4 linked regions of the Alligator mississippiensis genome follow. The protein of the gene in region 3 interacts with the protein of the main gene of each other region in a pairwise test. Links are inferred from orthologs where the notes say so. Each region holds a gene or a part of one and is shown on either strand. Other genes may lie near its edges.

Region 1 (7,319 bases), on a different chromosome or scaffold from region 3:
AAAGGGGAGGGGAGACGGAGGGGCCAGCCCTCCCCGGCACCGGCCATTTGAACGCTCTATCACCTTAATTCCCTTTCTCCGATCTTGACAGGCGCTAGCTGCAGCCTGCCTGAATCTTGCTATTCCGCTCTTTCATTGAAGCCTTCCGGCTCCCCCCGCCTGCCTGCACCCTCCTGGCCCGCTCTCCCCTCGCCGCAGCCGCCCAGACCCAGGGGATCCCGGCGCTGGGGCCGCTCCACCGCCCCTCCTCGCTGCAGGCCGGGGCCCTCCCCCCCCCCCGCAGCTCGGACCACTAGGTGCTGCATCCGCAGCCTGGCCTGCAACCAAGTGTTATTTCTGTGAAACCTGCAACGACTGTTTTTTCCCAGGATTTCTGCTTATTAATCAACACCCTTCACTCCAGCTCGGCTTTTTTCCATGCCCGGTGGATTTTGGGGGGGGGAGGGGCTCACTGACTTGTAATTATATTTTTAATCAGCCTCTTCCTCGCTTCAAATTTGTATGTAGATCAAGCATTTACCACAAAACCCGAAAAACGGGACCCAAAGCAGCGCTTACTACTCAAGCAGCTGATTATTGAAATGTAGCAAAACAGACGAGCTTTTAATTTTTTTTTTAATTAAAGGCTAGGGTTAGAAATCACTGTATTTTGAAGCCTTTTCACCTTGCCGCATATTTTTGTCCCTGAAAACCTGCTTCTACCACCAAAGCCCTGTTCATAGCTGGCAGGCCAAAAATATGAACCGATTGAAAAGTAAGACGTGAGGATTTTGTGGGGGGGGGGGGGGATCTCAAAGCTACTCGCAGAGGGGTGAGGGGTCGCAGTCAGGAAAACCGGGACTCGATTTAAATAATTGCATAACGTTAGGGTTTAACTCGTACATGTTTACATTTGGGTGTTTTGATTAATGCCACATTTGATTTTTCACCGATTTCCTTAAAAGCCCCTGACACGGTACTTTTAAAACACACGAGAGATTAACGTTTGCCAAGAATATTCAACAGGCAAATCCTCTCCTGCCTTGCCCAAACACATATCTGTAAGTCTATAATGCCTCTCAATTGATTTGAGCAACGCCCCTCTCTCTGGCCTCAACTCCTCTTCTGCTATAGTCTGGAAGGGTCAAAAAGTCTCTCCCTCCACTTGTTATTTAAATCTAGTACTTAGCAACATGGGCTCTCCAGGTGCGGCGACCGGCTCCGTCCTGTTTTAAAAGTCATCTGGACCCCCTTTTTTTTGCGCTGAAACTTGTTTTTCTCCCGCATTGTTTCCTACAGCACAAGCGCCTGGGGGCTCTGGCTGCGCTCCCCGCCCCCGCGGCCCGGACCCTGCAGCCCCGTCTTGCCCGAGTCTGAGGGGCTCCGGGGAGGGGCGCGGAGCCGGGTCCCGCCCGCGGGGGCTGCCCCGAGCCCCCCCCCAGATGCCATCACACGCGCTCCAACACGTCTGCTCTGCTCCGCTCCGCACGGCTCGGGGCCACGATGCTTCACACGCTGCCAAGCCCACGTGTGCACGCCCAGCTCCTCCGCGCCGGCTCAGGCCCCCAGCCCTGCGGGGCCAGGAGGAGATCCCACCCCCAGCGCACACCCTCCCGGGAGCCTGCCCGGTGTCGGGGCCGGCTGCCACTTCCTGGGTGCCCGCTGGCCCGGGCGCTACAAGGGGCCCCGAGCCGGAGGGGAGGGGGTAGCGGGAGGCTCGAGCTCGGCACGAGCGCGGCCGGCGCGGGGAATTGTGGGTAAGAAAGTGCCCGGGCGGCAAAAGGAAGCAGCGGGAGGAGGGGAGGGGAGGAGAGGGGAGAGGGTGAAAGGTCAGCAGCCGGGAGCCCCGCGCTGGGTGCCCACGTGAGGGGAAGCGGCGGCCGCACATTGTTCTGCGGGCGCCCATGCGGGGGGCTCCTGGCCCGGCCGTGCGGGGCAACACCCACCGACAAAGCCTTGCATTTGCCTGGCAACGAGCGGGGTGGGGGCGGCTTCCCGCATCCCCGGGAGGAAGATAAACACCAAGCATGCGTCTCCCTCCCCACGAGAGGGACTGCAGGGTGCGGGGCTGCCTCGGGCTGGGGGGAACGGGGCTTGTCTCCAGCGCGGCCCCACCCAACGTGGCAGCTCTTTGTGCTGCTGCCCGGCCCCGGGGCTCGCAGCCCCCCGGACCGGGGAAACGTGTTTTTTTCAGAGAGGGCTGTTTGTTTGCCCTCTCACCCCCCCTCCTCCACACACACCCCCACCCCCACCTCGCTGCAATTTATTTGATTTGCAAATAATTGCGCGAATGTTTATTTTTGCGCCCCTGCTTCCTTTCTTCCCTCCTTGCGGGTGAACGCCGGAGCTCATTACTGGGGACGCGTTTTCATTCAGTCTTTACTAATTTTTTTTGAGCGCCGGAAACAATAGTCCTGGCTTTGGGGATCCCTGAAATTCTAGGGAAAGGTCCGATCCAGACTGCCGCGAGCTCCGCTCCACTTCTCTCGGGGAGGGGAGGGGAGGGAGGGAGGGCTACGTGGGGAGTTTTGGCTCCCCCTGAAATGATGAACAACTTCTGGAGCAGCGCGGCTGCTGGGACTCTCCCTCCCAGTAAACATGTTTTTATTTAAATTGCTCAGTAACTTTCTCATTATTTCTTAAACCCAAGCCCTGCCACCCAGCTCCTAGAGGCAAAGTTAAGCGAGTCCAGCCCCAGCCCTGCACAATCAGCTGCAAATGGAGGAAGAAAATGTAAAATGTCCAAATGGAGAAGTGGTTCCCTTTGTTCTTTCATTGTTTCTCTACGAACTGACGGATACAAGCACAAACACTTACCTTCTCTCCTTTTTGCTCCAAAAACCAGACGTTCCCATCAGCTTTAAAATACACAATCCACCTTGGAAGCGACTACAAATGTCGGGAGAGTTTGTATTCCATTCTTTTTCGCTCTCTGCCCTTTTTAGTGTAAGATTAAGTTGCCGAGCACGTTGTTGCAAGCTGTAGCCCCCCGCCTTAGTGAATGGTCACGTTTAGGACCCTCCAAGTCCATCCTAATTCTGCCAGTAGAATCGAGGGTATTGGAGGTCTAAACTTTCAAAAGGAAAAGGGCCTACAACTCTGCAGCAACTCTGCAAATACAGTCGCCTTTGCCACTACATTCTGGTTCGAGTAAACAGAAATCAGCATTTCTCCTGGGATATTTAAATTTTTTTAAGTTTAAATTTAGCGGTGGTGTTCCTTTAGGCAAAAAGTGCTAAGAGACAATTTGGTGTAAAGGCACAGTCTACATCACGATATACCACAGCCTGTAATATCTTGGGCTTTAAAAAATAAACAAGGGCATCGTGCAGAAATATTGGATATAAAGTTGAAATTACCATGGCAGCTGGGGGGGGGGGGGAGGGGGTCTCTGCAGTATCACACAGAATCGTGGGTTTACAAAGTGTCTCTTCCATGGCAGAAATATTGTTTTGCGTTTTGCAATATGCTTCTAAGCCACTTAAAAGCACCCCTTTTTTCTTATTTCTTTGTAGTCCTCTCTGGGTCTAGTACCCAGCCATACAGGCAGTACTCCCCCAAACCTTGCTTTAATTTGATTATGACCAGATTTGCTGATACGATGAATATTTGAAATGATCCTTGTGTCTTAGTAACTGGGATAAATTTTCAGGCTCCTGTTTCCAAGGATCCAAGATGCAAGGGAAACAGGAGCTAATTGGAGACTAAGTTCCTCTGGGCCCTTTCAGAGGCTTGGCTGGGTTCTGGTCAGGAAGTCGGAACCATAAGATCACAGACCCCTTTCTCTAACGCCCAAGGGCGCTGCATTAATTCAGCCCAACTCCTCCAGGCTGTGGTTGGAGTTGGGTACTTTCGCGCCTTTTACCATTGCATCTCCAGGCATGTAGCCATTAAAAATAAACAAATACAACATGTAGGTGATCCAAGTAATTGGGGAACTGGGAGTATGTGTTATCTAACCGCCCCCCCCCCCCAACTTAACCTTAATACCATTCCGGAAGGCTCTTCTATTTCATAAGAAAATATGACAATAAACAAGGTAAATAGGGGCGGGGGAGTGGCTTTTCTTTGATAGCGTTTAATTGGAATTGAAACATTCTGGAGCTGTAAACATTCTTTATTTATTCAGCACACATAAGCGGGCATTGTTTTATCACCATCATAATTATGGTGTCCTTTAAACTGACTGATAGCAGAAGAGATAAGGGAATGTGCCTGTGGCTTCAGATCAAATCGCTCGCTCGCTCTCTCCTCTCCCTGGGTCACCAGGATCCACACAGTCCTTGGAGATGAGGAACGCCGGAAGATTGTGGCCTGGCCATCCCTTACGTCATGAAAGTGATTTGTACCACATTGCTAATTTGGTGCAATCCATAACCTTCTGATCTCCTATGTTTGCAATTGCTTTTCAGCTTGCAGAATCTGTTTTTCCAGGATACAGTCCTTGAATATAAAAATGAATACAGAGCACCTGCGTGTAAGAAATAATCTTATTCCCCTCTGTTTGTTGCCTTACCTTTGTCTAATTAAAAAACGCAAACTTTTAGGATCCTTCCAGAACAAAGCCTCACCAAATCCCCTTTACGTCCAAGGATTTGCAAATTTATAAAGGCTGCATTGAATTCAGGATGGGTCAAGGGGCAAAAAAAGGGTAGAAGGTCAGTGCATTTTGATTATGGGTCAGTAGACAACATGGCATGCAGTATGTGTCCAAAAACTCCTGTTAAAAACCTGTATTTTAAAACAGCCAAGACTATCAACATCAAGTAAGACTGTTATTTTGTGCTTTTTATGCACCGTACAACGTTCTGGTGCATAAGTAGTACAGCCATGTAGAAAATAAAACTTAAAAACGTGCAACAATACCTCCTTGCTTTGTTTACAAAGAAATAACTCACAGGCGTGATGATGCTAGATAAATTATGCTATGATTTTTGGACTGTCAGCTGGGATTTATCTTCCACATATTTGACTAATTTAGTTATACCTTCTTATTTTTGCTAACTTAGAATTTACAACAAGTTTTAAGCACTACAGTCACACTGGGCCGGCTTTAAAATAGCAGAAGGACCCTATTATAGTGTTCTTTGACCCTATTATATTTACTTTACTGGACTCTTTGTGATAGCCTCGCACTGTTTTCTGTCTGTAGCCTCTTTGAAGAAAATATGCATAGTGATATCTAAAACAGTGCTAAGGTTAGAAAATATACTTCTCATTTAAATTATATATTTCTACATCATGGCTCATGAAAGGAAAAGGTTTATTTAATGCTTGTCAATACCTGAAGATACAGTCTGGCACTTAACAAATAATAATAAATAATAATACTCTAATAATGTGGCAATCCTAGTGTGAAAATGCACATGACCCCGTAGGTTTTCCTGAAGGTTTTCAAAAGAAGTCTTTCCATTAGTCCAACTGCTGCTGGATATTGCTGTTGCATTTCCCAACTAAACGTTTAAAAGACTGTAAATGGTGTGTGCATTACTTAGCTCCAGAAGGAAGAGGTCAGGCTGAATCGCAGTGGTATTTAAACATCATCATAAAATGAAAATAAATCAGAACACATCAAAAAGGATTTTAAACGTTATATATACGTCTTCTTTTTGTGAAGCGATATAGTTACACGTTTACTGCAAACCTGGATCTTTTAACACGAGTTTACAAACATCAAAGTATGGAATCTGTTGTAAGTAGGAATAGGTCCACAGCAGCATATTATTCATATTATTTTCTACAGAGGTTTATTCTTCGGCCAGCCAGTTGGCAAACTTAAATACTACCTACGAGAGGGTGTAGATTGCAGATTGCACGCTACTCATCGTGAAAAGGAGCACATTTGATTGATAGCCTCCGTGTGTGTGCGTGTGTATACACACGCAACTATATATAGTTGCGTGTGTATATGTGTTTAGCAAAATGGGCACTATAGACGTTCTGTACTAAAGAAATGTGAGACAAACATCCATCTTTTTAATCGTGTTCATCGTTGATTTTAAGTGAGGCTGACACGGTCAACAAAATTGCCAGACACTACCTTGCTTTTGAGAGATAGCAATATATACAGCTGGATCTACACACGCGCGCGCGCGCGCACACACACACACACATACACACACACCAAGTAAGTAAATTATTGCATAACTTTTACTGTAATTGATAACAGACACCTTTAATTTTTCATTTTCATTCTTTTGCCCTGCTTTCACATTAATAATCTAAGCCATAAATGTTGGTAGCTATTGATCGCAATCCCTTGTGTGCGTGGAAATCCATTTTAGAGTCCCCTGCCTTTAATGGGTGTGTGCGTGCGTGCGTGTGCCAGGGGCCTCCGTCACATCTCGCTAGCAGGATCTACCCCCAATGTGCCTGAAGAAGACCCCGGATATACAACGTGTGCTGATGGCCCCATGAAAGCTGCCTGGTTCATTTTGCACAACAAAATGATGGAGAAGTTAAAGAAACAAAAGCGTCTGTGTGTGATGTGGAGAAAGCCCTGCAACTGAAACTGTGTGTGTGTGAGTGTGTGTGAGTATATTGTGTACATTTTGTGTGTGTGTGTGTGTAACGATATTGTGTACATGTGTGTATATATGTATAACATTTCCTAAAGACTTCTAGCTTTTTTTTCCTCTATCAACATTTGGCTCTGGCTAACCCCAGAAGCTCATGGCTGTACCTTTCTGAAAAGATAGGTTTGGCAAAAAGCCGCTACTAAGTTTAAAACATTTGATAGCGCCTGTATTAAACAAACAAAAAGCATGCATTTTTTAAATAGTTCCTGGATCCCATTGCCAGACTATCATCTGGAGTAAAAGAGAGTGTTTGGATTTAAACATGAGTCGAGGACAACCGAACTACCTGGCAAAGTAATGACTTGTGAGCCCACCTTTTTTTCTGTAATGTCTTCTTAAAAGCTTTCTCGGAGTTTACGGTTTCTTTACTGTTTGACTCCATAGCCTTAACCTTAAAGCAGGGGGAGGAGAGCCGCGGGGAGGGGGTGGGGGTGCCAGCAGCATATAAGTGCATCAGGAGGAATTTTTAAACGACCTTATTGTCTCTAGCTCTAGGAAGACTACGATGATTTCTTTTTAACACCAGCAGCTGTTTTCCCTCGAAACTTTGCTTTCAGCTATAGAATATAACATGATGTCTCTTGTGCGAGCGAGAAAGAAAAATGTACGCTGATAGATCCAGATGCAGAGCAAAAGAAGGCTAACTCTGTGGATGGTATTAGCTGTGACGAGGCATTGTTCACTGCTGCCTCTCGGTTACGTTTAAAGGCTGAAATATCACGAGATCCATTCAATGATCCTTTTCTAATTCAAGGGACAAAA
Region 2 (7,505 bases), on a different chromosome or scaffold from region 3:
ATGGAAAATGTTTATTACTGTAAGTGTGCCTTGGGCTGGAAAAGGTTGGGAAACACTGGTCTAATGGCACCAAATATTATGGGTATGTATTTACTTCTTGATGACTTCAAAATATATTTTTTAAAGGGGGCAGACATTTGAAGGTTAAAATATGCAAGAAAAAAATCTAAAAGCACACTATACAGAAAGAGATTCAAATGTAAATAAAGTAAATATACAGGACTGCTAGCAGTAGTTTGGAGGCAAAGCAATTAAAATACTAAAATGACTGGGTAAGCACTGGAACTGTCTTAATACTACTCCTATCTGGAAAGGAGCCTGATCCTCCATTCTTTATGCAGGGAGAACGGCTGGATTAAGTTTAAAATCAGGCCCCAAGTCAATCTGCAGGAAAGCAGATGGGGTTAGCAATTCTTATGAAGGCAGAAAAACTAGTGACCTAAATAGCAAGTTTATACAACTTTTTTCTATTTACCAAACTACTAAAAACACATAACATAGGCTAAACTTTCAATCTTTTTGTTCACATTCATATAATACATATCATAAATCTCTCTCAAGCAAGAGGTTTTCCTCTTTTCAATGCTCAATCTAAACCCTGGATAGCAAGTGGGGGGAAAACATGTTTTTAGACCCTAGGCTAATGTTAGAATACCTCATTTACTCAAGAAAATGAAGTTTTACTTATTTCTCTAAGCCAGCATTACCAATCACATACCTACATGTGCACACAGCCTGAGCTGTTCTATCTCCCCCACTCCACAAAAAGGACACAGTGTTTTGAAAACTACTCATGATTTTTGTTATCCTGTCAGTGGAGGCAGAGATTTGCATTTAACAGATTAAAAACATGCTTCCCTCAAAGTTCCCCAGAGAATCTTTTTTGCTGAGAATAAAGTAACAACTATACATTTCATTCGGGCTTCTATATAGATATTTCAACATATGAAAATTTAGCAAGGTTTCTGAATGGGAATAACTTGGAGATTAGCAGTTTAAAAAGCTAAAGAGGCATGCTTATTCAAGCAGCTTTCAAATTACAAGTAAAGAATAATCCCTATAGCAAAGCTAAACCCTATTAATCCACACTTTTGTATATACTAGTGTGCTAGCCTTACACAATGTCTTTGTATAGTGTGATAAGTGGACTATAATGTTTGTGTTTGATACTAGTTATTGCAGCTGCTACACTTTCATTGGCTGATGGTCTATTTTGCAGCAGTTTACAGTACGAGTAAGCCACTCCATCACAAAAGATATCCCTATGTGTCCCAACAGTAGACTGTGTTTTAGACTAGAACCACCTTGTTGTGAAATAAAATTGCTGTGGCTAAATTCTGTTAAGCCCCCTCACTCACTTCTCCATAGTGAAAACACTAGGATTCTGAACCTAGATGCAGCACCAACATGGCCAGGCTTTGAATAACTTGTGAAACACTAAAAGCAGTAATAGAAACTACTGTTTTTAAAACGGTTAATAGCCTTGCAGCTAATTTAGACTGTGGCTGTAGCCATGGTGATCCAGAAAATAGACAAAAAGCAAGGGATTTCTGATTACATCTTTTACTAGACTAACTGCATAGTTGGGATCTCTCTTTTAAGCCGGTGGACAGATTGTGTCATCTTTAGGAATGTGGCTGATCTTTTGTTTTTCACATAAGTTTAAAGATTTGATATTTTGGTTGCACTGTATAGTACAAGAAGAAAAAAGTGATTTCAGAATAGGAGACACATTGTGATGGCCAGAAAAGAGGAATTCTTCACTCCACTCAGTTCCTTTAATTAACAAAGAATTAGTACAGATGTTGGGAGGCATGTCTAATAGCAAAATGCTAACTAATCTTCACAAAATTCCAGTTGGAAAGGTAGGCAAGTGTTCTTATTCATTTTATAGATAGGAAAACTGAAAGAATGTGGGCTTTAATCTTTAGATTTTCAGGTCCTTAATGCTGCAGTCCCTCAGTATTGGAGAGCCAAGATGTTTACGGGCCTGAGCGATATGAAGCAGCTGTCATACCTGCTTCACTTGACCAGTACGGCCTGTGCAACTACCAAAAACAAAAAAAAAAAGGTATTGTCAGACTGCAGCGAGTTAGACCAGCAGACAACTGAGCAAACTTATATCTGAGGCTACTGAGTTCTACAGAAAACAGCCACCAAGCTGCACACGTTTCCCATTCTTTCCACTCACTCTTAAGTCATTGCTTACAATCCTGGGACCCTGCAAAATTCACAAACAAGAACTGGGGAAGCTCAGGCTGCAAGGCACCAGGAGCACCGAGCGAGCCTGCCTCTCCAGGAGCCACAACATCCTGACCAGGGCTCCCCCAGTCCCTTAAAGCACCATTTTTCAACCCATGGGTTGTGACCCAAAAGTGGGTCACAAGAATATAGAAAAAGGGTCAGGAACAAACTTTAAAAAAGGATTCTCCTTCAAAGGAGAAAAACGTGGGAAACCATGGCTTTCCCCTCGCAGGCTGGCAGAGCTCCAGCCTGCGAGGAGTTGCTCTGCCTCTGCTCCACACACTGGGGGGGGGCTGGAGCCTGGGGGCAACGGGTCAGGACTGGCCACCGATGTTTACAAATGGGCCCTGACACAGAAAAGGATGAGAAGCGCTGCCTTAAGGGAGCTTCGCGGGGCCCCCACGAACACGCTCGCGGGCGGCATGAGCCCGAGGAAGGGGCGGGCGCCGGCCCATAGTCAGGGCGCCCACGACCAGACAACCAAGTGACCGACCCCGGAAGGGCCCCGCCCCGCCCCGGGGAGGCGCGAAGCGGCGACCCGAGCCCGGGGAACCCCAGCGGGGAGCGCCCCCTGGCCCCGCCGGGCGCTGCGAGAAGGGGGAGGGTGCGCAGCCAGCGAGACTTGCCCGGCCCGGCCCCGCACAGACCTGCCCCGCCAACTCGGCCAGGGAGCGCAGGGCACCGCTCAACGCCTCCCCAGCCGTCGGGCCGGCGCCAACCTCCGAGTCGCAGGCATAGGCAGGACAGTCACTGAGCTCCACCACGGCCGCCATAACAGCAGGCTAAGGCCAGGGCCGGGCCCCGCCTCCCGCTGCCGGCGCGCGGCGATGACGGGTCACGCGAGCCCGGACCGCCACCCCGCCCACCAGCCTGACGGGCAGGCTCCGCAGCCAATCCGTGGTTCCCGCCGCTGCGAGGCGGGTCTTGCGGCTCCGGGAGCGTCTCCGCTTTGGCGTTCGCAGCGCTGACCCCGAAAGGGTTAAAAACTGCTGAGGCTGGTCCTCCCCTTGCCTCGCCGGGGCTGCGGCGCGAGAGCGGCAGTGACAGGAGGCTGTGGCCTGGCGAGGGCCCTGCCCTATCCTGTCCCGCCCCCACCCAGCGGAGCTGCAGCGCCTTGGGCGCCCGCCGGGGAGCATGGGGCTTGCCGTGCCCCGAGGCCCTGAGAGGGGCCCGCCTCTTGCTTGTTCCTGTGGCAGCGCCCCCGCGAGGGTAGCTCTTCCCGGCCCTGGCCTCTGTATCATGAGGCCCCCACAGCCCCTTCCCCACCCCCCCACCTCCAACGGTGCTAACACAAATCATCCGCTCTCATTAGCCCGCAGGTGACCCGGGTCGGTCGGTCGTGGTCTCCACAGCATGGCTCTTGCAGGCTTTCGTGTTCTCTGCTGATGCCAAGGGGTGGGCAAGGGCCCCCTGGGGGCAGCCAGTCTTCCCCCTTGGTGCCTGGCCTTTTGGCACCCCAAAGGCCTGGTATAGATATAAGTGTTTGAAAACCGGCCAGTACCTGTAACAGAACAGTTCAGCATGCACAGACTGATTTAAAAATGGCAGAACCCAGTGTAGGATTTGCGCATCACCCCCACGGGCAATTGTGTGTGCTGTTCACTGCCGATCTCTAGAATCGTAGAAAACGAGGGTTGGACTAGGTGACCAAGAGGTCATCTAACCACCCCCCTGCTCAAAGCAGGACCGTCCCTAACTAGATCATCCCGGCCAAGGCTTTGTCTAGCCAGGTATTGAAAACCTCCAAGGATGGAGGTTCCACCACCTCTCTGGGTAACTTGTTCCAGCATTTTACTACCCTCCTGGTGAGAAAATTCTTCCTAATGTCCAACCTAAACTTCCCTTGCTGCAACTTGAGACCATTGCTCCTTGTTCTGTCATCTGCCACCACCCTCTTTCTAACCCCCCTTCAGGTAGTTGAAGGCTGCTATTTAATCACCTTTCAGTCTTCTCTTCTCCCTCAGCCTCTCCTCAAAAGTCATGAGACTTACAGAAAATTGCACAACAGATTGAATCTGCCTTGAGCTTTTTGTATGTAGCCGAATTGCTGGCTTTCCTGTGCAATGGCTTGTTCTCCATGGTCTTTATGTGCCTCTGGATTTGAGAGTCATTCTGTCATGGTAGGATCTGCCTGGTGCCTTGGGTCCACCTAGGCTGTACTGTAGAGCAGTGTGACTCCTGTCCCTGTCTCCACCCTAGCCCTGCCACTTGTAAGAACACAGCAACTTGAGTTCAAGAACCTTGTTATTTTGACATGCTGGGTAAATAAATAGGCTTACACCATAAGGACAAGGGCTCGTTCTATTACAGCCTCATTTTCATTCCCTGTTGCATCCAGGATGTCTCTGGGGGATTTTATCCAGAGAAGTGCAAGAGAAGCCAAAGCAAGTTCTTCAAGCCATACACTGGTTTCTTGGGATGTTATCAATCAGGCAGTATTAACAAGAACAACCCCATACAGCAGAGAATAAACAAACATACTCACTACCAGTGGCAAGGTCTCAGGACCCTCAGAATTTGTCCTCAGGGTTTGACACACATTTCAGACTTCCACCCCTCAGCCTTTGTGTGTGGTGGGGTTATACAGTTTAGGTTCAGATTTGTGTATTCCTGCCCATTCCTATGAAATAAGGATCTCTTGGCTAATTCACTAGGGAGCAGGGAAACTGAGTCATGGTCTATGACCATTGTTTTTTCCTAGGGTCCCCTTATTAGCATTGGGTGTGATCAACGGCCTATGAATCTCAACTCCCTTGAAAATCCCTCACAACCCACTTCTCTCGCATGCCAAACGTGATTCAGACTGAACTGCTTCTAGAATCAGAGTATCTGGGTCTGAAGGGGCCTTGTGGAAGATGTGTAACCTGGGTGGCTATCATCTTGTCCCCATCCGCATTTGCTGCTGATGAAATGGCTTCTGTAGTTCTCACCACCAAAGGTTAGCAACATGTAGATCTGCCCTGTGGAGACTTGTGTCTAGACTGCATAGTTGAGGTGGAAGGGGTCTTTGCCCACACCACAGTTGGGTGATGGGGGTTGCCCACACTGTATTACAACTGTACAGCAGGAAGAAGTGGCAACACTGGGGCTTTGCTTGCACTGCATTTAGCAGCAAGGGCCATGTTGGAAGCACTGGCCTACCTCCAACCCAACCTTGTCAACCATGGCTTTCAATGACCTGAGTTACTGGGCATCAGGTAACCTGGGTTCATAGGGTTGTAGGACTGGACTGGATAAGACCTTGTGAAGTCATCTAATCCAGACCCCTGCTCAAGGCAGGATCATGCCTGACTAAACCATCCCAGCCAAGTGTCTCTCCAGCCTACTTTTGAAAATTGCCACTGATGGAGATTCCAGAACTACTCTATTTAGCAAAAAATTCCTTCTAATATCCAATCTAAAATTCCTCTGCTGCTCTTGAGGTCATTGTTCCTAGCCCTGTCCCTTATGGCCACAGAGAATAGTCTGTCTCCATCCACCCTGTAACTGGCCTTCAGGCTGTTAACAACCCACCCCTCTGTCTTCTCTTCTCCAGATTAAATAACCATAGATCTTTCAGCCTTTCTTCATGTCATGCTTTCTAAGCCCCTAATAATTTTTGTTGCCCTCTACTGGACTCTTTCCAATCTGTTCACAACTTTCTTAAAAGTGTGGGTTCCCAAACTGGACATGGTACATGAGGTGCAGCCTTACCAAAGCCAAATAGAATGGAAGAATCACTTCCCTAATGAAAGCCCTTACACAGGTTTCCTAGGTAACATTGTTGAGAGTCTTGAAGCTTCAGAGTTTGCCTTTGCTGCAAGAATAGCTGTGTTTTTACTCCAGGATAACTAATACAATGAAGACAGATTTTCCAAGAAATGAACTCACAGAGATGGTGGCGTAGGGTTGACCTAGGTGAGTTTACCTCACAGTACAAGTGCTTTTTTTCATTGTGTTCTTCCATTGGGATATTTCATGCATGTTTTTACCCAGAGGTAAAAAGATACATTTTAGTAGTGAAGATGAGGCTTCAGTTTCATTATATGCAACATGAGGATACCACTGATGCCTGTTAAAAGCAGTATGTCAGTGGCCTGGTGCTACTTGCTTCTAGCTGACTGGTGTTGTTTAAGGGAATGTCAGGGGAAATGTTGCTAGTAAGGAGTTGCTGCTCTTACCAGGTGTTGCTGAAAATGAGCATTGCCTGTGATAATCTTTTTCTACCTCACAAGGAAATTGTAAAGCTAATAAAAAAAAATTGTAAACCAGCTTGAGATGTTTTAATAAAGGTAGTAGGAAACCAAATTAAATGAGTTTTAGTACTGTCTTTACTGTCTATTACTGATATTAATGCAAGTATTTCTAAAGCTTCTCTCACTGGACAAACCTTTACATGGCTTAACTTAGTGTAAACACTTCTGAGGAAATAGGCTGTACTTAATGTTTCCCTGTGCAAATAAGCAAAATACCCAAAGCAACTGAAATGAATAAACACTGGCCATCTTCACAGAAAAAAAAATACAGGGAGCTTATAATGCCCACCATTTGCAAACAGAACAAAAAGCTGTGTTTTTCATGAAGGTCTGAAATGGGCTATACTTGGGATCACTTGGATTTCTAAGAGGCAGGGCAAACTTTTGGGAGATGAAAAGCCTGTTTTTATAGGTCTTCCTGATCTGTGAGCTATAAGTGCAAAGGACAATCTCCATTTTGTATTTAAAAAGTGCATCTTCATGAAAAGTGTCTTAGAAGAAAGAACTAAAAATGCAAATTCAGAATAAAAAACAGAGATTGTGTGTGTGTGTGTGTGTGTGTGTGTGTGTGGGCCTCTTGAAGGCTCAGATCAAGTGTAATATCCGTCTCAAAACACTTATTTGATCTCTCTCTACTGGCTGGATTGAAATCTAGAACCAAAAATTAGCTACTGAAACAGACTTTTTTCTGATTCTTACAGCATCTCCTTTGGGACAGACAGCTAAATCTCTTTGCACAATTTAAGTATTCTACCAAAAATATATATCTTTAGATTAAAAAGGAAAAAAGGACAAACCCTACAGCACTTTGAAACTCATGTGGAAGTGACCTGGTAGCCAGTGCAGGGTATAAAACACAAATGAAATAGTTTGCAGGGGTTTAGGTTGTAGATGTGTTGGTCTAAGGACATAGGCAGACAAGATTTCTTGGGTGAATTAGATATCTTTTATTAGAGCAACCCAAATAGTTGGAGAAAAGTTATTAAGCAAGCTTTCGGGTTCAAAAACCCTTCGTCAGGCTAAAGA
Region 3 (8,173 bases):
CTGTGTCAGTTAGAAGAACCAAAAAATATGTAAGGTCTTTCTTACAGTGTTTTGTAAAAACATCAATTAGTTAACCCATTTAACATCTGAGCAAGGCAAAAAAAAATGCATTTCAGTAGAGCTGTGGCTCTATTGAAGTCAATAGAATTATGCCAATTTGCATCAGTTAAGGATATGATCTGACCCACCAGTTTTACTCTGCTGTTTTATTTTACAAAAGCTTCTCTTACAGTGGTTCTCAATCTCTTTAGACTCAAGGCACCCTTTAGAAAATGGCAGCTCTTAAGTGTTTTGACTACAGAAAAATAATGGAACAGTTCTTCTGTTGCAAAGAAGTCTGCAAGACCATACATAAGAATGTTTTTGATAGGGGTGCACTGATAGAGATTTTTGGGGGTTAGCTGATACTGATCCAATTTCTGATACAGCTGCTGGTAAGTCTGTTGTGGTGGACGGGGAGGGGGGAGGGCAGATCAATAGCCCCTGTGGTGAGAGAGGGAGTGGGGCAGGGGCTGGGACAGGTGCTGCCTAGCCAGGGCAGGGAGCAGGACAGGGCCGTGGCTTGTCTGGGGGGCACGGAACAGCTCCTGCTGTTGTGCACACCCTGGGAGGGCATGGGGGGCATGCCCTGGATCTGTGCAGGGGGGGCTGCAGTTGTGGGCTGGGGCACCAGTTGCAGAGCCAGGGGAGCATGGGGGCCCATGGCTCCTTCCCCCCCAGGCAGACCTGGAAGCGGACCAGAAGTACTTCCGGTCCACTTCTGGATTTGCTGCCATGCATGTGGAGGGCCAGCCCGCACTCCTGTGGGACGCTCCATCCACCCCAGCATCGCAGCATTCACAAGCAGTGCTGGCACCTCAAGGTATGTAGAAAAAACTTTTAAAGCTGTGTCTATGGCTGAATCGCTGATTCTCTGAATCAGCATCGAATCTTCAGATTCAGATTCAACAGAATCAAATTGGGACAGTGATCTGAATCAATGAATCGAATCACTGTCCCTGATTTGGATCAAATCCGAATCAATTAGGGCCTGCTTTGCACACCCCTGTTAGTTTTGCTAGTAAAGGACATCCAAGATGCACAATGTGCCTTTCACAACATTTCAAGTGAGACAGTAGACAGGATGTGATTGTGAGGCAGCTATCAGCTGCTTTGCTTCCTGTCTTTAAATCACATTTCCTGTCTTTTGCTTCCATTTACATAAAGCAGCTGAATCTTGAACTCTCAGAAAAACCGCTGAGTTGAATTAATGCTGGAAAATGGTTATTTTTTCATTACATTTACTGAGCAATCAATCAGCTGCTATCATGTGTTAGCAATCACACCACCCTATTTTGGCCCCACCATCATATCTCTGTGCAACCCAACTACTGTCCTTTGCAGTTCTATACTCAGGCAGCCCATGCTCCTCTACTGTACCTGAAGTACTTTACCAAGAGAGAGAGCTCTTTGGTGCTTACTTTTGCTTCCACAGCAAGGATGGGTATCTCCTCCACTCTGCAGCATAATAATGCAGCAGGGAAAATGTTACTAAAAAGGGTCAGAACAGAAGGAAACCCCAGACAAGAATACAAAAGCTGAGGGGATACAGAACAAATATGGGGATCCAGATGCGGCTTAGACCAACTATGAGAACATAACAGAGTACTGGGGAGGAGGATGAAAGCCTAACTTCAGAAGGGGTAAGAGTCATAATTGCAGTGCTGGATTAAGAATTTTTAGGATTTTGGATCCAAAGAGCACGGCACCCAGAGATGACTGTCCTGACCACCACACATATTTTCCAATATTAACTATGTAACCAAATATGAAAAAGGCATACAAATAAGAAAGTGCTACATTTATCATATTTCAAATGACCTTTAAAAAAAATGTAGGCTGAAAAGCTCTTGTATGATGTTACTAAAGTCCAGTTGTCATACCAGTTGTGGTTCATTTACTCTAGGATATAAAGCATTTAGTTATCTCTGTTGCATTCTTGATTTAAGCTCATTTTTTATCCTAGCCATGTTCAAGAATGTATGCTTTCTTTCAGTTTGTGATAGGCAGTGTCAGAAAAATCTCCAGGGTGATGTCCACATTAGGGAATACTGATTGAAGGCCTCTCTGTCTTAGGTCTTCTAGCAGCTTGGCTGGAGATTCATTATGAAAACTTTCAAAGTTCAAGTTTTGCGGGTAAAGTGCAGCAAATGCAGCAGTACACTTGTGAATGCCAGGGATGTACACACCAACTGCTGAAACTTCCTTAGTCTGACAAAGGGTTTTTGAACCCGAAAGCTTGCTTAATAACTATTCTCCAACCATTTGGGTTGGTCTAATAAAAGATATCAAATCCACCCAAGGAACCTTGTCTGCCTATGTCCTTAGACCAACACGGCTAAAACCTACACCCCTGCAGGGATGTGCAATGGGCTGAGTTCAAACAGAACTCCAAAACTGTCAGTCAGCATCTTATAAGCATCATTATTACTGTGAAGACTAGTAGATTGTTAATTAAAAGACTGAATGTTTCCAAACAAAAACATGTTGTCTTCCTTGCAGTAAGGTCTCAGGCTGTCCTGATTTATCTTCACATTCTTTACTCTTTTACAGCACAACTCACTTTGATATTTTTGGGAGATGGCTTTGCATATGTTCATAGCAGTGTTTTCAAAACTGTCAAATTCTTCTTTTGGGGCAGCCACAAAATGATTGTACTGGCCACAGCAGGTGAGCTCCTGTACTAAGATAGCTATGTGTTCTTTGTAACTGTATGCTGGTCACTTTAAATTGCTGAAGCACTATGTCCCAAAATTGGAGAAGTCAGATCACAGCCTGGCTCTGCAACACTTCAACACATACCCCATTCATTACCATCTTCTTTGGTATAGGGTGACCACTTTTTCAAAATGGAAAGGCGGGAGGGACACATGCCTGCCTCTTCCTCAGACCCCACACCTCTGGAAGCAGTACAGCTGGAGCAGAGCGTGCAGCCTACATCTGCCCTTGCCCCATGCACAAACCTGGAGGTGAGGGGGGGCACTCCCTGGGAGTGTGCAGCAGCAGAGAGCTAGCCACCCTGGTTGAGCTACCTGTGGCTCTGTCTTGCTCCATGCCTCAGCCTCGGGCACTGCCCCAGCTGGGCAGTGCTCCCAACCCCTGCCCCATTCCTTCCCTCATTGCGGGGGCCTCGGTCTCTTATCCTCTACCTCCCTCTTATCCCCCCCCCCCCCCCCCATAGTGATACCTGCAGAGAGCTGCTCTCTGCACTGCTTGGTTGTATTCCTGGCCATGTGTATGTGTGCAGGCACACACATGTGTACATCCAACTCCCAGCAGCCTACTTTCCGCAGTTTTCCTTGGTGAATGGAAATCCCGGATCCCTGCACGACACTGTGAATCCAGGACAAATGCTGTCCCAGAGTCAAGTAGCCCAGGATCAGGACTTGATGTTCCCATTCTGAGACTGTCCTGCCCAATTAAGGATGGGTGGTCACCCTACTTTGGTATCATGGCCAGCTTCCTTGTTCAGTAAATACCCTGCTGGTTGCAGCTGTGTGCAAGTGTTTGCCGAGTACACTGCTCCTCCACCTGTGTGTAGTCACTGCATTATCTGTAAAGAACCTAGTACTGCTTTGCTATCTCAAGAGCAAACAGTGAGCTAAGACCAGATCACTCTGGAGCAACAGTTAGAGGAGGCTGTGCCCTGGTTCTAGTCCTTCTGGCGTTGAGCACTTGGTTTTCCTCGTCTCTGGCCATGAGCCCATTCTTCAGCTATGGACATTGCTAGTGTCTGCAAGCCCTACTAATTGTAGGGTGAGGGTTAGTGAACTTCTGCATGCCTCAAAAAACACTCCAGTACCCAGTCCGCTACCTTGCTGCTAAAAGTGGCAGCAGTCCGACTTACAGGGTTTGAATTACACTTTGACCCTTGGGAGGGAGGAGGGACTGCAAAAATAATTGGGCTGCCCCTCACAATACCCTAATGAAATTGGAACTCCTCCAGGTTATGTTTTCAAAACTTACAGGGGGGGATCATCTCTTATGTGGGGGCTAAGCCCCCCTGAAATTCAAACCCTGCCTACCGAGTTTTCACCAAACCCTGACCCATCAAAGATGCAGAGACCTAGCACGTTAACTACCTCCTACTTCTCTAACGTGGTCCTGGGTATGACCGTGAACTGCATCCGACTAGAGGGTTTGATAGCAATATGGTGGGACAGCTCCTACCAAATACCACAGTGTTGCAACATCCAGAGTAAGGTGAGTATAGGGCGCCTCAAAACCCTGGCCCTTGCTCCTGGGTTGGAGTCAGGCTATGGGACATCACCTGACAAAATGCACCCTCGCTGAGGGCCGAGGCAGTCGGTGGCTCTAACCCGTTTCCCTCTGGCAGCAGCTACGGCCATTGAGACACTGATTGTCTGGACGCAGCCTGGCCTTCAGACTCCGTCTCAATGGTCTGAAGGGGGATGGCTGGTCTGGGGCAGCCCCACCCTCTTGCCCAGGTGGACACATTGGAGGTCTCAGTGAGGGCTGCAGGACTTTTTTTTTTTTAAAGAAATTTTTCTAAGACAAATCAAGTCCAAATCCATGAGTCAGTCCAGAACTATAAGTGTCCCTACAACCGGCCGACATCCTCCATCCCCACCGGGGGCTTCAGATATTTCCAGTCTCTTGGCAGGTGTCCTACGTGCAGGCCCAAGCCCGGAGCCTGGATGCCCCCGGGTTCCGCCTGCCCTCAGCCACACGGCTGCAGGAGCAAGCTAGGGAGGAGCCACCCATTTCCATAAAGAGGGCTTTAACCCCAACCCCTCGGCGGGTCCTGAGCAGTGCTCCCGGGAGCGCCTCTGGCAGACGGCCGCCCCGGACCCAGACGCGCGCAGGGGCTGGCTCGCTCCCCCCGCCCCACGCCACAAGGAACCCGAGGCAGCGCCAAGGCGCCTGCGCAGCCCTTCTCGGGGCGGGGCTGCCTGCCTTTCCGGAGGGTGCCCTAGGAGAGAGCCAAGACAGCCTCGTCCCAACCCGACCCCTCCTGCCCGAAGTGACTCGTACAGCAGCTGCGGCGAAGGAGCCGGGCAGCCGGCGGGCCTAGGCGTGCAGCGAGCAGCAGCACAACGACCCGCTGCCAAGGCGAGGGCTCCGCCCCATGGCTCCTCCCGCCTGGCCCGGCCCCGTCCCTGTGACGTCACGGCGGAGGCCCCGCCCCGCGGCTTGTCGTCACGGCGCGGCCCCGCCCTCCGCAGTCCCCGGATGAGGCAGGGCTCGGAGCCGGGAGCGGTCGGGGCGATGGTGCTGTTGTGACAGAGGTGAGCGGCGGCTGGCTGGGACAGCTGTGGGTGGCGGCGCCCGAGCGCGGGGGGCGGCGGCCAAGGGGGCACCGGCGGGGGTCGGGGCGGGGGTCGGGGCGGAGGGGCTGGGGGGGGCGCGGGGCCCGCTCCTTAGCCCGCTGCGGATTGGATGTGAAGTGACAACGGGGCAGGGCCCGCCTCCTCTGCTCATTGGCGGGGAGCGGAGCCTGCGCGGGCGCGGATTGGGCGAGGCGCTGTCAGTCCCCGGTGCCCGGGTCGGCCCCGCCCTTTCTGCTTTCCCGGCGGGGCTGTGCTCCCCCCGGGGGAGGGGGGGGCGCCCCGCCGGGGCCTCCCCGCCTCGTGCCCTGCGTTGCCCCGCCACCGTCCCCGAGACCCGCAGCGCGCCCCGGGCCCGCCGCCCCTCTAGACAGGGGGCAGAGAAGGAGGCCTTCGGTGCCTCGGGTCGTAGCTTCTGCCAGAGAGCGACGGGGCTGTACCCAGGTAGCGAGGTTGCCTGGTAAAAAGACAGGCCCAGACCCTGCGTTGGGCTGGGCACCCGGAAAATCAGCTCTGTCCTTCGGACCTGAAACCCTGGGGGTGATATAGGACGCTGGCCTTTGCAGTCTCGTCACATGTGTTTGACTCACAGCCGGCGTGGTGCTGCCGTGGCAGGCGCACGGGCGCAGACAGGCTGTGGTCAAGCATCCAGGCAACAGTGGGCAAGCCCCGTCCTCGTGCTGCTCCACCGCGACTGACTGATGCAATAATGAACGTAACTCATCCTTTTCACATAGCACAGCAGTTAAAAAAAACCCAAACTCTATCCAGTGTGACTAGACTTTTCTAGCATGTTTGACATTTATGGCTGGTGAAGTGTTTCTGAGTCATGGCATTGCTTTTCCTTTTCTTTCCTCTTTTAAACTTGAGTTTATGAAACGTGTTGCTGGGTTTGCCATGGAATCTGTCTGTCCTTAATCTTCTGTGTTTAGGGAAAGGGAGGGGCCTGCAAAATGTTTGCTGTCAGATGGTTGCTAGGATACATAAATATATTCATGATGTCAAATGCATTTTCAGCAAATTATTAAAAATAATATTTTTGTTCCATCAGAGGAAAGAGCAGATTTAGGAGTTTAGCACACGCATCAAAAGAGTATTTACTAAAAGGGTATACGATGGTTCTGTTAGTGTCATAAATGTAGATCTTACAAATGAACTCATAGTCCTTGCTGCAGAGATTTTAAAGGAGAAGGTATAACAGATCCATTAGGGAGAGATCAGTCAGCACTTTGAAATTCTTTTGATAAACCATCTTCAGTCTTCTCCCCACCTACTCACATTGCTGTGTTCCAGCCACATCCTTTGAAGCAGGACTATTGCAGCCTGTCTGTTGACAAAGTTTCTTAATCAGGAGTTGCTACTATGTTGCTATTACAGTTTCTGCCCTTTCCTTCATGTCTTTGAAGCAGACTGTTTTCTTCGTTGCACATTGATATCTGCTCCCTGAGTGAGACATCTTTAATTGGATTGACACTTATAAAAGGGAAGTTTACATTATTGGCTATCAGCTTTTTTTGGCTGTTGTAGCCAATAATGTTCTTTGATAATTATGCCTCTGGATGCCTGGGTTTCCTTCTCTGGATACACCCATATCCCCTCACTGGTGGGCTGGGCTGGGCTGGGCTGGAGTGGAGCAGCTACTGCAGTGTCCTGGGTGCTGGTATGGTGCGGTGTGGACTGTGGGCTGGGGCCAGGACAGGTGCTGTAAAAGGTGCCGAATGCTGCAGATATGACTGGGACAGGGAGGGACGGGTAGAGTTGAGCTGCCTGGTCCAGCATGACCCAGTCCACATTTAGTATCTGTTATTGGATTGGTATTGGCTGATATGGCTGGTTAATAATTGGCTATCCAGTATTGGCCAAGAAAATCTTTATCGGTGCACCCCTAGTTTTAAATGCATTGAAATATCTCCGAGCAGAATGTTTTATATATTATAGGATTAATTTCCTACAGCTGTAATTGCAGGGTTTTGTTTTTTTTTTTGGATCTTTTAATTCAACGCAATCTAATGGTCACAAACTGTTAAGAACTTGATCTTGTTTAATAAAAATACAGAATTCACATTTTGTAAGTGTGACGTTTACAGGCTTGACATCTATGAAATGTTTGCTCTTAATGGTTTAGTTTACATTAGTATTGAAAACTATGGGATGGTCCAGCTTGTCTAAAATGAAAGTTTTATCTATCTAATCAAGTTTATCTGACAGTAAATGGAGTGTGAGCATCTTGAGAAAAAGATTGTGATTTTAAGCAGGAAATCATAGAAGTCGGGTCGGAAGGGACCTTGTAGATCTTCAGGTCCGACCCCCTGCCTGGGCAGGAGGAAAACTGGGCTCAGTTGACCCCAGTCAGGTAGGCATCAAGCCGCTTCTTAAAGACCCCCAGGGTAGGAGCCAGCACCACTTCCCTTGGAAGTTGGCTCCAGATCCTAGCTGCCCTAACTGTGAAGTAGTTCTTACGGATGTCTAACCTAAACCTACTCTCCAACAACTTGTGGCCGTTATTCCTTGTTATCCCGGGGGGCACTAGGGGAAACAAGGTCTCCCCCAAACCCTTCTGGTCCCCCCTAGTGAGTTTATAAATGGTCACCAGGCCCCACTTCAACCTTCTCTTGTGAAGGCTGAACAGGTTCAGGTCCTGTAGCCTCTCATTGTAGGGTCTGCCCTGCTGTCCCCGGATCATGCGGGTGGCCCTCCTTTGGACCTTCTCAATGTTGTCCACATCCCTCTTGAAGTGGGGTGCCCAGAACTGGACACAGTACTCCAGCTGCGGCCTGACCAGTGTCGCGTAGAGGGGGAGGATCACCTCCTTGGACCTACTTGAGATGCACCTGTGGATGCACGAT
Region 4 (7,227 bases), on a different chromosome or scaffold from region 3:
TTGGGAAAATCTACACTAACATCAGCTTGCTAAACAGATTTAAAAAAAAAGATTTTCTTTCATTTAGCAAGTAGATACTACTTTGCTTTGTTTAACAAATGTTTCAAGTTCCTTTATACTCAAAATGTGCTTTCACATGACCACTTTAAGATCCTTTTCATAATTTAAAGGCAGATTTGCCAGCCACCAAATTTTATGAAGGGGGGGAGGGGGGTATCTCTTCTTTTCAGCCTTGCGTACATTAGACATTTAACACCGATAGAAGCACTATTATAAAAGCAGCCAAACCTGTTACTTCAGTGACATCTAAAATATAAGTTGTTCACTTTGCTGTGGTTTTAAACAGCAGAAAAACTATTTATTGTTTCAAATAAATATGGAAGTTCTTTTGTGGAAGCACATTTGCAGATATTTATTTGTTCATAAGAAAGTCTATAACACATTTATTTCTAAATTATCCATTCAAGAGTGTATGTAGAACCATTAGTATGGTTAGTGAGGAGACCTGGAAAAGGCATATTCAGTATATGGATGACACTGACCATAGCACCTCAGTTAGAGCCTAGTTCTTGTACATGCCCAATCTGAGCAAGCTGTCTGAAGTGATAACAGCAGGGACAGAAGCAAAAAGAATCAGTTCCTTTAACTGAAGGAATAAATCCACCATTAGTTAATAAAATTTGAAAATAAGAAGTTATTCTGGATGCCCAACTGTTGCTCAGTCACATTACAGGAAAAATGACTGCAGAGCTGCAAATGGTCTAAGACCAGCCTGACTACAGGATTGCCTCTCCTCCCATGCTGAAATAGCACAGCTACAAAGTGGCCAAGCTGAATGCCTCAAGAGACCCTCTCATCTGGCAGGAGGGGCTCAGGATACTGGAACTTGTTTTTCCCCTTGTCCAAACTAGCCTAATTTTTGGTGAACTTCTGGACAGTATGCAAGAGACAGTGATCTGATAGGACTTTTGGAAAGCACTGGGGTACAGTCCAATTAGCTAAACTCCTTTTCTTGAGTGAAGGTTTTAATTTTGCTGGGACTTCATTGTCATGTGAATCTTGTGTTCAGATGCTTAGAGCTGTCTATAATAATCTTTTTATTAAGAAAAAGAATTCTGTAGTCTAATAGTTCAAAACACCATAAATAATTTTGATTTGCTTAATATGCTTTCCTCAAAAAATCACCTCTCGATATCCTAACTTAGAAGCCAGTCTTATTAAGTGGACGGCCCTGTTGATCACACTTCAGAATTATTGATAAAAGTTTTCTGACTATGGGTTTAGGGGAGGAAAAATAAAGTAAATGGTAGGGGTGCACTGACAGAGATTTTGGGGGGACAATATCGATAGCCGATATTTAAGGAGACATATCAGCCTGCCTCTAGGTGATAAGTCAGGTGTGGTGGAAGGGGAGGGGGGAGTGATTTTTTTTTTTTTTTAATCAGAGAAAACCAGGATCCCTACTCATGAGAGTAAGAAACCTCACTGTAAGATACCTTAAATGCATGCATACACACCAAATGTGTCCTTGTTGCAATGAAAGCTAACATGCTAGGCTACATTAGTAGGAACTTTGCCAGCAGATTAAGGGAAGTGATTCTTCCCCTCTATTCAGCACTGGTGAAGCCACAGTCCTGGAGTACTGTGTCCAGTTTGGGGTCCCCACCACAGAAAGGACGTGGACGAATTGGAGAGAGTCCAGTGGAGGGTAATAAAAATGGTTAGGGGGCTGGGGCACACGATTTCTGAGGGGAGGCTGAGGGAACTGAGTTTATTTAGTCTGCAGAAGAGAAGACTAAGGGGGGATTTGATAGCAGTCTTCAAGTCCTGAAGGGTGGTTTTAAAGAGGATGGAGCTAGAGTGTTCTTAGTGGGGGCAGATGATAGAGCAAGGAGCAATGGTCTCAAGTTGCAGTGAGAAGTTTAAATTGGATATTAGGGATAATTTTCTCACTATGAGGATAATGAAGTACTGGTGAAGTATTGATGAAGTATTTTTTTTTAAATAATATCCTTCAGTCCCAAAATGCAGCTCTGGTGAACTAGCCATTGCACTTAGTTTTGTTTCGTAAAGGCGGATCCTCCTGGAAATAAGCTAATTGCAACTGAACTTGTTAAATATGTGATTAGAGTTCATCTCCCTTTTCCACAAAGAGCAGCTTCATAAACTTCTCCTTGTCCACTCCTGGGTTGTTGTTTTTGTTGGGTTTGTTTTGTTTGTTTGTTTGGGGGGGGGGTCTTTCCCCTGATTCATTTTAACTACCAAGTCAGATGTCATCAGTTCTTTTCCCATGGTAGGAGGATCTGCGCTAACAAGCAGTTATGTCACTTCTGCAAAGCTGAGCTCTTCTAAGCGCTGGGGGTTCCCATATCTACACATGGTCCAGAGTTCTCCCCCCCCCTCACCTTCACAATTTGTCTAGACTGGAGCCTTGGGTTCCAATAGATCATCCGGCTCCCATTCAACCTGGTATCCTTCACTGAAGACAGACAGCACAACCTCCCCAGAGGTGATATGAAGGGTGGCAGGTGCCCAAGCTTCATAGCCCAAGCCCATGGAGGTATGTTTGCCAGAACGCAAACGTCCAGCAGGTGCTGGGGGAGGGAAGTCTGGTTAAAGAGTGGGGGGGGGGGGGGGGAGCCCTCTTTTGCTGCCAGGAACCAGGAGGGATAACAAGCCCGGCAGCTCTACTGGGGCCTTTCCTTCAGGCCTAGCAGCCAGCCCCGATCCTGCAGCACTATCCTGGCCAGGGGCGGCTCCCCCGCGCCGCCCTAGTCATGCCCAGGGCCTTCCCAGCAGCTCGGGTGGCACAAGGGATAAGCCAGGTTTAAACGGCATGAGACAACTCCCGGGGCAGGGGATGCCGATGTCCTCCCGGCGGCCGAGGGGAGGGAAGCGCGGGGCAGCAGACAGCGCCGGGGTGACCCGCACCTGTGGACCGCAGCGAGGGCTGTGGCGAGCAGCAGCACGCCCCACAGGCATCACTGCACACCACTCGGGCCGGGCGGCTCCAGGATCCCCCCCTCCCCGCCGCCGCAGCCCGGCCGCTCCGCGCTGCACTCACCGGGGAGAGGTGGAGGGTCCCGGCTCCACGCCCCGCAGCGACCAATGTCCCAAGCGGGTTGTGGTTGCCGTTGCCGTTGGCCTCCTCCGCGCACACCCCGGAACTCGGCTACCTCCGGCGCGCCCAGCTGACACTGACGTCACGCCGTGTGACTGCGCAGGCGCTGGGGCCGCGCGAGGCCGGCAGGGTGGGGGCTAGGACGTGCCCGGGCGCCGCTCTGTGTGCGAGGTTGCAACGGCTTTTCCGCGTCTGCCTGGGCCCACCTAGCGCAGTCTCTGCCAGCCCCAGCCTAGGTCTCCCCCTACTCGTGCCAAACCTGCTGCTGTCGCCTCATCCTTCTCCAGCTGGCCCCAGGCCCTGGCCATTTTCAGCTCACAAAGGGACCCTGCGGGATCTCCAACAGCCTCCGCTTGTTCATAACCTCCCGCACTTTTTTTTAATCTTAGTGCTGTGCCGCAGCGCCGGGCAGCTTCTTTTTGAACACCCGTCCCTCCGAGCTAGAGGGATTTAGCTCCTGCCACACCTCAGCATTTGCTTTGCCTTGTTTTTGGCAAAGTCTCTGTTTTGCTCTGTGGGGTTGAAGCACTGAATGCAACAGCATCTTGCTTTTCGTCTGTGGTCCTTTTTCTCCACAGGAAAAAAGGCCGTACAGAATTGCCAAGCAATGCCCGTGTATAAGCAGGGGAAAGTCCTCCGATAAAGCATCATTTGCGCCAGTCCCTCCCTAGAAGTTGGGGGCATTGCTCAAGGGTATCAAAGCTGCTTTCAGGTGCAGTCCAGGCACTGGAAATACCTATAATTTCTTGGCCTGCTGCAAAGCATCCTTTGGAGTCTGACCCAAGGCCTCATCAGTGGTGACCTTAGGGTTGTTGGGGCCCTGGACAAGAGTTATTTGGGGCCCCTTAGAGACTCATGTTTGATGGCCCTATAAGCAAGTCAGACATTTTCAATTTCACTTTGCCCTGTCCATGCAATTGCAATAAAAGTATCTTAAAACAATATTGATAATACAAGTATTAATTACAATATTACAATAAATATTGCAAAATACAACAAATTAATGTAATTCATTTTTATCTGTATAAAATGCGGGCCCCAGGCAGTCACCCAGTTTTCCCTCCCCTAGAGCCACTACTGTCCACATGGAGTGCTGGGTGTGGGGACACAAACCCTTGAAGCATTAGTAAATGTAGATGATTCAAAGTCATTGTCATAACTTCCTGAAAGTCTTTGTGCAACATCAGAGAGATTAAAACAGAAAATGAACCCAAATTTCCTGAGTTCTGCACCACCAATTTGACCACAAAATAATAATCCTCTGAGTCACTTTCAACCACTGAGCATTAGGACTTACTCTATATGTTCCCCTGCTTAGTCAGTAATATACCTTAACTGCTACCACTAAAACATCCATAGTATCCTCTCCAAAACTAGGATTTTTGCTCATGTATCAACACCTAGAATCTTGTCAAGTTTCTGTCCTTTAAGTCAGTGGGACTTCATAGGATGGAGCAATGCTTCTACTTAAAAAGAGCTGTAAGACGGTGTCAGGAGAGAGATAGCATCCTCTTACATACCTATTCTGAAATTTCTGCAGACAGCTTTTCCTCTTGGTATATAATGCTCACTCTCCATTCAGTATCCTGTATGGTGGCCTATGTACTGGCTAAGTCACACCTAGTCACCTGCAATGCTTTTTCAAAGGTCACAGTACCAACTTCATCTCTTCATTCCTGCCCTGCATCAGAAATTGCCATATGTCTTAGTGTGATGGAGTTTTTTGTAAATGTTTCAATTAGTGGTTGGTTTTTTTTTCCTACTTCTTTAAGAACCTTTACTGTTCCAAACCTCCTCACTATCTCCAGAAGTCATCACCCTATCTGATTACCAAAGAGAAGGGCACGGTTGATTTAACCCTGTTCTTAAGAGTTTGATCACTAATTCAGAATGCAAAGTCATTGGGATGCCTGGTAATAATTGAAAAAGGTTCTTAGAGCAGCCAATTCTAAACTCTGACCAAAGCTTTGTTGTTCTGCTGTTGGTGGTTTTATCAATTTCAGTCAATTTAGTGGCCACAGGGTGACAGTACCTACTATTGAATTTTGGATTGTAACAAAACCCCCAGGTTTTTTCTTTTTCTTTATTTACTTAAAAATATGACACCCCTTTTCCCCATCATTTCTGCCTTTTTCTCTCCCCTCCTCTATTCCCTATAGGGGTGTGTGTGTGTGTGTTTGTGTACATATATATATATTTATATATATATATATATATATATACACATGAGTAGTTATAAGTTAAGTTGAAACCCTGTGTACATAAGTCCCCTTTTATAGTAACCATGAGCTATTGTAATAGTGCTTTACTGTGTGTGTTGGATTACTATAATGTATTATACTGTATGGTTATTGTGTCTTAAGTGTCTCTTTGTTAATACTGTATGGTTTAGGCCTGTGTCTGTAAAGTAACGTCAAGTAATGTCAAGTTTCCATCTTCTAATGTCAAGCCTCCGTCTTGTGTCCCCTGATGTTGTAACCTATGACTCATACCTACCCCTCCTATGTAAATCAGTGCCTGGATGAATGGGGATAATACGGGTGCTTGAGAGATAATGGCAATAGGTCTAAAAATAGATGAATGACTGAACCATCAACTCCACAATGCAAGCATCACTCTGCATTGACCCTCCCTGGCTCAAGATTTGAAAGACAAAGACTGCTGCAGATCCCACCCAAGCCACCATTACAGACACCTGAAACTGCATGTCCTGACCTAGAATGCACATGCTCAGTCCACCAGGGGCTGGCCCTAGCCTGGGCAGGCCCCCTGCCACTGGGGTTATGGAAGGTCTTCCCCTATAAAAGGGGGCAGTGAAGATAGACCCAGTGGGAACACCATTTTCCATCCGGACCAGTCCACATCATGCCGCCTATCCACCCTAGAGGTCCTGGCGGCAACTGGACAACACCAAGCTGAAGGAGACCCCGACTGGCCATTGAGGACCAACCTTCAGCCTGGGATAGTTAGATATGACCCTCACACTTCCTCCTACAACTTGGACTCTCTCTCTCCTCCTGGACTTCAGCCCCTGCATCAAGACTCTTTAACCCCTACTGCCATTGTGTGTTGTTACGTCTCAGCTCTGTGTTCTTGGGCAACCCTGGCACATGACACAGCCTGTCTGACTCACAAAGGACTCACCCCTCCTCCCCTCTTCTACACAAACAAAACTGATTAAGATGCAGTGAGACACACACCTAAGACCCTCCAGATAAGGGTGACAAGAGTAAAACAACTGCCCTAGGTCCCATTTGCATCTGAGATGGAACCAGATGACCATTCATTTACATGAGAGATGGAAAACAGAAAGTCTGAAGCAGAGACTGCAGTGAATTCTGGGATCAGAGAAGCAGGGGAGCACTGTATGATGGGGAATCTGTGTTCCAAATGCTAATCAACCCATGTTCACACACACCCAGCTCAGCATTTATCAGACCAGTTCTAATGTGGATTTACAAAGGACTTTCCCCCCCAGACATACATACATCTCTAAGTTTAATAGGCATCTCGGGCCGTACATTCCCCGGTCCCACTATGGGAGGCCTATTTAAACTTGATTGACTAAAACTCAGTTGCCAGGTTAGGGAATGCTGAGGCAAGAGACCGAGTCAGAGGGGGTATGGGCAACATTTGAACAATGGTAAAGGGGTTCATCGCAGCGTCCAGCCCATTGGAGCCCTAACCATAGGTGTTGTCATACTTTTCCCGGGATGACTGGTGGGAGTCCTCCTGCCCAAAGGTTATAAACACCCCAATAATTGTCTTAAGTCTGTTAAAAGACCATAGTAAGATCTAGAAAAGTCATGCTAAGTTGAGGCTTGTTCACAACAAGTAAAAATCAAAAATCCTGATGCTGCAAGCTATCTATTGTTTCTGAAGAAACCATGAGATATCCCATCAGTATATCTGCTATCCGTAGGAATTTCAAGCTGGCTCCCAAGTATCTGCTTACTCCCTAACCTCATGTGTTTCCTGATTATCAATCAGTTTCTTGAGATGTTCCAAACCAGATAACCCCTTGTCAATAGAAAAGACAATGATTTACACTGTTGAGAATGCTTCGAAACAGCTAAACTGACGGTATAAAAATCTGTAAAAAAAAA

What was found.
Region 1: the proteins of NDEL1 (region 3) and MLLT10 interact in a two-hybrid assay, tested with the Homo sapiens proteins (2 studies listed by BioGRID and IntAct). The link is inferred for Alligator mississippiensis from reciprocal best matches to the Homo sapiens genes NDEL1 and MLLT10.
Region 2: the proteins of NDEL1 (region 3) and MBIP interact in binary tests that used the Homo sapiens proteins (3 or more experiments, as listed by UniProt). The two-hybrid records come from large-scale screens. The link is inferred for Alligator mississippiensis from reciprocal best matches to the Homo sapiens genes NDEL1 and MBIP.
Region 4: the proteins of NDEL1 (region 3) and CCSER2 interact in binary tests that used the Homo sapiens proteins (3 or more experiments, as listed by UniProt). The link is inferred for Alligator mississippiensis from reciprocal best matches to the Homo sapiens genes NDEL1 and CCSER2.

What each region holds. Positions count from the first base shown.
Region 1 is NC_081828.1:185,212,998-185,220,316, reverse strand, and holds the start of MLLT10 (protein AF-10), read right to left. Parts: upstream 3,189-7,319; 5' UTR 2,797-3,188; intron 1-2,796. UniProt on the Homo sapiens protein: Probably involved in transcriptional regulation. In vitro or as fusion protein with KMT2A/MLL1 has transactivation activity. Binds to cruciform DNA.
Region 2 is NC_081825.1:257,639,642-257,647,146, forward strand, and holds the start of MBIP (MAP3K12-binding inhibitory protein 1), read right to left. Parts: upstream 3,060-7,505; 5' UTR 3,018-3,059; coding exon 2,892-3,017; intron 1-2,891. UniProt on the Homo sapiens protein: Inhibits the MAP3K12 activity to induce the activation of the JNK/SAPK pathway. Component of the ATAC complex, a complex with histone acetyltransferase activity on histones H3 and H4.
Region 3 is NC_081831.1:21,681,451-21,689,623, reverse strand, and holds the start of NDEL1 (nuclear distribution protein nudE-like 1), read left to right. Parts: upstream 1-5,151; 5' UTR 5,152-5,288; intron 5,289-8,173. UniProt on the Homo sapiens protein: Required for organization of the cellular microtubule array and microtubule anchoring at the centrosome. May regulate microtubule organization at least in part by targeting the microtubule severing protein KATNA1 to the centrosome.
Region 4 is NC_081829.1:45,685,119-45,692,345, forward strand, and holds the start of CCSER2 (serine-rich coiled-coil domain-containing protein 2), read right to left. Parts: upstream 3,208-7,227; 5' UTR 3,065-3,207; intron 1-3,064. UniProt on the Homo sapiens protein: Microtubule-binding protein which might play a role in microtubule bundling.